Linked DNA regions of Mus musculus. The protein of the gene in region 1 purifies or fractionates together with the protein of each later gene. This does not show direct contact. Links are inferred from orthologs where the notes say so. Each region holds a gene or a part of one and is shown in the gene's direction. Other genes may lie near its edges.

Region 1 (4,280 bases):
CAAACTTGGTTATTTTTTTTAAAAGATTTATTTATTATTATATCTAAGTACACTGTAGCTGTCTTCAGATGCACCAGAAGAGGGCGTCAGATCTCATTACAGATGGTTGTGAGCCTCCATGTGGTTGCTGGGATTTGAACTCAGGACCTTCAGCAGAGCAGTCGGTGCTCTTAACCACTGAGCCATCTCTCCAGCCCTCGGTTATTTTTATTTTATGAAGAACTGCAGCAACATTGGGTTTTTGTTGTTGTTTGGTGTGTATGTGTGTGTGTGTGTGTGTGTTCAATGTATACACTGAACCCAGTATATACAGAATGCCAAGCAAGCACTCTCCCATAGAGACATATTCCTAACCCACTAAAAAATTCATTTCAGTGGCTACCAGGTATTTTTATAACTGTACAAAACTGACCATAATTTATTTAACCAACCTCTTATTGTATATTTGGATTTCTTTTATTTCCAGTATCCCACTATTATCAGTGATTGTTAAGCAGAACATACATTTTTATGTAGGTCCAAGTTTGATTACAGATAGCAGTATCACTAGGTCACAGTTTAGGGCTATGAGGGCTGGCTAGGACTGGTTAAAAAGATAAAGCATCTCTCAGATTAGACATTCTGAAAGGGTGTACCAGTAGAAATAAGGCACTTCTAGGCACATTTGATTGGCAGACAAAATTTTCGAATGAAGTAAAAAGACAATCAGGTTGGGAAGTCTGTATTTGAAGTAATAAAAAAACGAAAAAACAGTCAGCTCTTAAGAACGAAATACTTTTAAGAGTAGACTTGAGCAGATCAAGGAGTGGAAGAAGTCTGAAATGTGGAAAAACAGCCACTGTGAAAATAACCTCAAGTAATCAGTTAAAAAATATCTACAGAACTTGTAAGAACTAGAAGAGTAATAAGGAAGGAAAAATACTAAAATTATTACAGACTTTCCAGGCCAAATAACCCAAATACCTAGGAATCCTGAAAGTTCCGTGTATGTTTGAAATACCTGTCCACATAATTAATGGAGACCAGCCAAAGAACAAAATGCTGGGCGCTTGTTTACAGTTAAGAATTTTAAGGCAGTGACAACCTGCGTGGATCGGGAGAAAATGTTGGGGTCTCCGGCCTAGAGACCAGGAAACCTGACACAGAACCTGTCACATGCTCGCCCCGGGAGCTGAGGTGTCCTCGCGATGGCCCACCTCTGGGCCAAGGCCGACATCGCCCGCCTCTCTGGCCTAGGAAACCATCCCAGACAAGGTAGGGTTGGCCTTGGACTCACCCTAGTTACTCATAAACCAACGGGAGGTGGCGAGCGACAGAAGCCTAGGGACGGTCGGCAAAGCCCAGACCCAAGGGGCGCGTGCGCACTAAGGCAACCGGAAAGGCTCCGGGGACGGCCGCGGCACTTAGGGAGCGTATGCAAAGACCAAGAAAGGAAGCCAGGGGTCGTCAGACAAGACCCCCGCTGGTAAGCGTGTACACAGCAGGGTGGAGAGGCCCAGGTCCCACCAGTGAGGACTGCTTTCGACAGGCCGCTAGCGCTACAGCCAGGGGAAAACGGTTGAACTGGGGTTGCTGGGAGCTGAGGGAATAGGAGCGATTGGGCACGCAGTAAAAAACAAACAAACAAACAAACCACTCGAGGCCAAGCGACCTTAAGGGACCACCTCGCAGACTTGATGTCTAGTTCCGCTACGTCTAATGCAGGTCGCAGCCAATTCCAGTCCGCTACGACTAAACGCCCCTCTTGGGTTGAGCAAGTTCCCCAGCCCACCTATCAATCACAGGTCTCAGCTATCCAATCAGAGGGCCGAGGGGGAGGGACTGCTTGGAGCGTCGAGTGACGTCAGCAGGCCTGGCCGCCAGAAGCGTGACGGACGAGGCTCGCGACTGAGGAGCTGTTAGCCGGCGCCGCAGCGATAGTCGCTGTAAACAGGGCCTCGCCCCTGCGGGTCCTGCGACAGCTCCTGGCTGGTGGGTGGTCTCGCGTGGGGCGGTAACCGCCAGACGCCGGGGGGAGGTGCTTCTCCATTTTCCCTCCCCCTGTTGTACACACCCCCGGCGCACCACGTGGGCGTGAAGCTAAACTGGAGGGGGTGTTAGGCTGACTTCTAACCTCATTGGCTGTTGATGCTGCCGGCCCGTGCAAGAAATTGCTCTGATTGGTCAGTAGAGGGAGGCGTGGGGGGGGTCTGAGTTCTAACGCCTCTGGTTGGTTGTGTGAGATAAGCTAGTGAAATGCGTTCTTCCGCAAGGGGTTTTGATTGGTCAGTCGGAGAGGTTATCTGGGATTCAGCCATCCCGGGCCGGGGACTTTGATAGGTGAGTTTGGTTAGGAAAATGGGAAATTCCTCTTCGTGGACTCTGATTAGTACGGTAGGGTTGCACCCTAGGTTTCATATGGCTTTCTTTGCTTCACAGGATTGAGAAAGGTTTATGTTCCCGATACCCTGGGAGCTGTCATAGCTAAAGAGAAGGAAATCTCAGTCTCCTGGAGGGGTCACCCCTCTAAAGATAGCTTCTGCCCCGTTTCTGGAAACCCTGGTATTTCTACAGCAGGCTTTGCTTTCACCAAACCCAAGTTGGAGACAGGAGCAGCCCCTGCGCAAGACATAAGGATGCTGTAACCAGAAGATGGGATCACGGAACAGCAGCAGCGCCGGATCCGGGTCCTTAGAACCCTCTGAGGGCTTGTCCCGAAGAGGGACTGGCCTGCGTCGTAGTGAGGAAGAGGAAGAAGAGGATGAAGATGTGGATCTGGCCCAGGTACTGGCCTATCTCCTCCGCAGGTAACTTACCCTCTGCTGTGACACTAAGTGTCACAATGTCTTGACCTCAACTTCAGGCAGGAAAAGTGCAGAGGATAGGGAATGGCATTGTCCCAGGACAATGGTTGTGTTTGAACAGAACGACCTTTCCCTGCTGGATGTCCATACACTCTGCGTGGCTCCCTACCCAAAATGGTTCTTACAACTCTCATAGTTGAGGAGCTCCTAAGGGAAGCCTTTTCAGCTGTGACAACACAAATGTCATCAGTTTTCCAAGAAAATAAAACGAGAGAAGGGAGAGGGATTATGGAGGAAAGGAGAGATGTGAAAAGAGTTGGGAAGGGGGTGCTAAGTCACTTGCCATGTGAGATGAAGCCATGTGGATTTACTTGAAAAACAAGTTTACATCGGCCTTACTAGCCCTGCTCTTAAGAAAAGAATGCCCTCAAGGGGGTGACCACCAGGAACTAAGAACGTTTTGTTTGCTTGCCTACGGTTCCTTGGGAAAAGATGAACCTAGTATCCCTGCAGACCCTGTGTTCTGTGTTGCGTTCCTACACCGACGGCTGTGAGGGTTGTTGTTGTTGTCAGCTGGACAGAGTCTGAAATCACCTGGGGGACACGGCACACCTGGGCGGGATGGATTATTTAGCCTCTCTGGGCAGGCCTGGAAGGGATTATGGCGATTGGGTTCATTGGAGCAGGAAGACCCACTCTGAGCGTGGGTGGTGCCATTCCCATGTGGGTCCTAGACTGTATAAAAAGGAGAAAGCTAGCTAAACCCAACCATTCATCCCGCCTTCTTCCTGACTATGAGTGCTGTGTTACCAGCTGTTCCTGGCCCTGCTACTTTGATGGCCCCGCTATGACAGACTCTGCCCTTGAGCCATGAACCAGAATATACCTTCTCTCACTTAAGGTGCCTTTGTTGGGGTATAGAAGGAAAAGTGGAAGTGCTCTCCTAATTCTTAGCTCTTGAATTCAGGATATAGCTTTGTGGTAGAAGCTTACCCAGCATGCACTGAGCCCCTGGGTTCAGTCCTTAGCCCTGGGGGAAAATTATATTTAGCCCTGAGAGAAATCAATTTAGTAGGTCAGTCTTCATAACCTGTTAGAACTCTGTGTTCTTACTCTTAAGAGTTAAAGCTGGTTTCCTGCTGTGTCTTTTTTGTGTGTTTGGGGTTGGTTGGTTTGTTTATTTTATTTTTGAGTCAGAGTTTCTCTGTGTAGCCCTGGCTGCTCTGGAACTCACTCTGTAGACCTGGCTGGCCTTGAACTCACAGAGATCCACCTGCCCCTGCCTCCCAAGCGCTGGGATTAAAGGCATGCGCCACCACTGCCTGGCCCTACTATGACTTGTAGGAGACTTAAAATCCAATTTCAAAAGGAGAACCAACTGACTAAGAGCCAGATAGCCATTGGTTAGATGGGAGAAGGAATCCCTCCTTTATAATGGGGATCTCTCCGCAGAGGCCAAGTGAGACTGGTGCAAGGAAGAGGTGCAGCAAATTTACA
Region 2 (3,816 bases), on another chromosome or scaffold:
AATCTACATCCCCCCACCTTCTGAGGTTTGGTTTTAGTTTTTTGAGACAGGGTCTCTCTAGCCCTGGAGTTCACTCTGGAGACCATACTGGCCTATAACTCCCAGAGATCTGTCTGCCTTTGCCTCCTGAGCTCTAGAGTTAAAGGGGCGTCACCACACCCACATCCTACCTATTGTTGTCTTAGACAGGTTTTCATATAGCAAGGCTGCTCTTGAACTGATTTTTCTACCTCCTGAGTGCTGCCTGGTGAAGCTCCTTATTTATGGTCGTAGCTTTATTAATACTCGGGTTACATGGAATGAACTTGTAGCACAGTCAGGCCTTCATGCATAATAACGATGTGTTCCAACAGAATTCTGTATGAACAAAATCACTAACAAAGTAGAAGCATGATTTCTTCAGTGTCAGAGTTGTAAAGCCTCGCGCTGCATTAACCCTTCACTGCTAAAGCTGACCTCCACCTCATGCATTCCTTCTTGAATGTCTGTTTTGTGTATGATAATAAATAGTGAGGTTTGTGTAATAACTATAGCATTTTTTAAAAGCTTTTTTTTTATCTTTATCTGTATGTATGTGGGCTCATTTACCATGGTCAGAAGAAAATAAGCAGGAGTCAGTTCCTTTCTTTCGCTGGGCAGTGGTGACACACGTCTTTAATCCCAGCACTTAGGAGGCGGAGGCAGGCCGATTTCTGAGTTCGAGGCCAGCCTGGTCTACAAAGTGACTTTCAGGACAGCCAGGACTACACAGAGAAACCCTGTCTCAAAAAAAAAAAAAAAAAAAAGTATATAAAACAAGAAAGGCTAGTAGACAGATTTAGAGCCATACCACTTGAAGAAAAAAGAAAAATTATATTTAGCTATTGTTCAACTATATGACTATAAAATATAATTTTGCTTTGGTGTAGAGAAAACTTCTATCCAATATAACTGCATTTTTTTTCACCTGCCAAATGTGTGCTCTTGTTTTATAGATATTATGCCTTAGAAGTCTCATATTTCAAATCATCTTTGGATCGTAAACTACTTGAGCTTTTGTGGAATAAATACTGGGTGAATACCCTGAGTTCCTCTAGCTTGCTTACTGTAAGTACTGGACTTGTTTCATTTGAATTTTGTTTTACTCTGAAGCCCAAGTTGACACATGGTTAACTCAAACATATGAAGGCCAAAGGCCAACCCAGAAGTGTCAGTTCTCTTCTTGTATGTAGGCCCGTGATCAAACTCAGGTTGTCAGGCTTCGCAGCAAGCTCCTTCACACACTGAGCCATCTTACTGGCCCATGACTTCAGGGCCTTGAGTGTTGGGATCACAGGCAAGTGCTATTATACCTGATTAATTTCACTTGTAGCCAAGCTACAAAAACTGTTTGTTATTTGAAACTTCATTTCACAGAATGGCATAATCTCAAGGCTGGAGCAGGGTTCTGTCCCAAACTAGATGAGGATGCTAGGCAATCCAAATGGGGGAAGATATGCTTGTGCCTTAAAGAGGTTCATAGAGGAAGAAACAAAAATACTGTTTTTGTTGCCTCAGGTAACAGGTAGGTCTCTGACACATAATATGCGACCCTCACAGGAATCACATTTCAGATATTTACATTACAATTCATAACAATAGCAAAATTACAGTTATGAATTAGCAGCTATGTAATTCATGAGTGGAAGTTACCCCAACATGAAGACCTGTATTAAAGGCTCACAGTATCAGTAGAAAGAGGTCCTGAAAGAAATCTGAAGATCATTACAAATCCCAGACAAAGAAAAACATTAACTCAATAGCTCCCAATACATCATTAAAATCTAATATTGTGATTCTTCCTATTATTAATGGATATATATTTAATAGTTATACATTTAGAACTTAGCAGTTTTATTGTTTTTACTTTCTGATAAAAAAAAAAGTCTACTTCATGTAACACAGTATAATTCAAAAGAAACGGGGTTTGAAAACAAATCTGAGACTACTACTAGTCCTTGGTGACCTTCAGAGCATAGTTTGTCACCTCTGCTCCAGAATAGTTTGTTACACAGCCAGGGATGACCCTGAAATTTTGTCTCTACCCTCTGAGTGCTAGGATTGTCCGCATGTGCCATCACATCCAGCTGTAGTGGCTGGGCCTTTCTGTGGTGTAAAATGGTGGCAGTGGCACTCGGTGTATCACTACGTACACTGCAACTGAGAAAACACCTGCCTTGATGATTGCTAGTGTTTTGTTTGGGGCATTATATTCTTAGAAAGACTCCCTTGAGTATTTTTATTAATGTCTTAAACATAACTTTGACATGGTTTGTGTTCTACTTAGTAGAAGTAGCAGCATTAAAAAGAGCAAGTTGAGCACGTGTCTGTAATGCTAGTCTTTGGGACTTGGAAGGTTTTGTCAAGGTAGTTCCAGGTCTTCCTTAGCACACAATAAGCTTGAGGCCAGCCTGAGCCACATGGGACCTTCTTGTTTTAAACAAAAATAAAGGAGGAGAGCAATCATAATAACAAATATTATGTATCCTGTGTGCCAAGCACTGCGAAGTGTATGTTGCCTTAGAGACAAGTATATTTGCAGTCAGAAGTGATACCTGGTGGCAAGAAAAGGGGACGCTAGGACAACAGCAGGAGAGAGGCAGGCAGAGGACCTACTTTGTCCTGTGACTGTCCTGTTCCAGCATTGTAATATGAGGACGGTTAGTTGGTGGGGCAAGTCTCAAGTGCCTTCAAGGCCTGAGCTCCGTCACCAGCCTGAGACAAGGCCTTGCCTCATGTATAGCCGTGACTGGCCCAGAAGTCACACTATAGCTGAGACTGCCTTGATTACACTTACAGCTGCTAGAGCTTTAAATCTACAGACAGACAGATGGCTTAGTGAGGTAAGGCACTCACCACAGAGTTCGGTGAATCGACTCCTGCAGATTTTCCTCTGACTACATGTATGCTGTGGCACATGCATACACACAAACACAAAGAGAGGATAAATAAATGCAATTTAAAAAAATGTTTAAGGAAAAAAATTTTAGGGGTGGTAGTAGCAGCACAGGCCTTTAATCCCAGCATTGGAGAGAAAGAGGCAGGCTGATCTCTGAATTCTCGGCCAGCCTAGTCTATAGATCAAGTTCCCAGACATCCAAGGCTACACAGAAAAACCCTGTGTCAAAAAAGCCAAAAGAAATGTTTAAGATAACAACTTGTCTTCCTGTGCCTGCATTTCAAAGATTATAGGCATGTACCACCCGCACATAGTTGGGGTTTTTTAGACTAAAAAAAAATAATAATACAAAACCTTATTAAAATATTACAATTAGCAAGGCATAGGGGTATACACTCGTAATCTATTATAGCTACTTAGTGAGTTAGAGCCTCAGCTATTTAATACTTTGTCTCAAAACAAATAAGAATAAATGACACCTGGGGATTCAATTTGGTAGTAGAATGTGCTTGTACAGACTGTAGATGCAAACCGCAGCACACCCACACTTGACACATGTAGGGCGATAGGCTGTTAAATGTATGGATCAAACCTTTAATATTTTTCAATTTGTAAAATATCTAATATATGTGATATTAAAGAAAAGTGTGTTCATAATAGATTTCTCAAATATAGGTGTAGACAAGGGCATAAAGTAGTACTTTAATAAGTACAGTCACAAAGCTAGATAATTATTAAGCCTTTATAAGGTGTCCTGGACAGTCCTAAGAGCTTTTGGCGTATTATTTCATTTTCAGACTAGCTCTGAGGTGGGAATGACTGCTGCCCTCTTCTGTTTTCAGAAGAGGGCAGGAGGCATGGTTCAGGGTTCCCAGCTCCTCTGCAGCAGGGCCAGAACC

Evidence for each region.
Region 2: the proteins of Dcaf11 (region 1) and Cops5 purify together in Homo sapiens (affinity purification with mass spectrometry; 6 studies listed by BioGRID and IntAct, with this or other methods). This does not show direct contact. The link is inferred for Mus musculus from reciprocal best matches to the Homo sapiens genes DCAF11 and COPS5.

Annotation. Positions count from the first base shown.
Region 1 is NC_000080.6:55,558,657-55,562,936, forward strand, and holds the start of Dcaf11 (DDB1- and CUL4-associated factor 11), read left to right. Parts: upstream 1-1,372; 5' UTR 1,373-1,465; intron 1,466-1,784; exon of another isoform or gene 1,785-2,553; 5' UTR 2,554-2,631; coding exon 2,632-2,786; intron 2,787-4,235; coding exon 4,236-4,280. UniProt on the Homo sapiens protein: May function as a substrate receptor for CUL4-DDB1 E3 ubiquitin-protein ligase complex.
Region 2 is NC_000067.6:10,027,869-10,031,684, reverse strand, and holds part of Cops5 (COP9 signalosome complex subunit 5), read left to right. Parts: intron 1-974; coding exon 975-1,086; intron 1,087-3,816. UniProt on the Homo sapiens protein: Probable protease subunit of the COP9 signalosome complex (CSN), a complex involved in various cellular and developmental processes.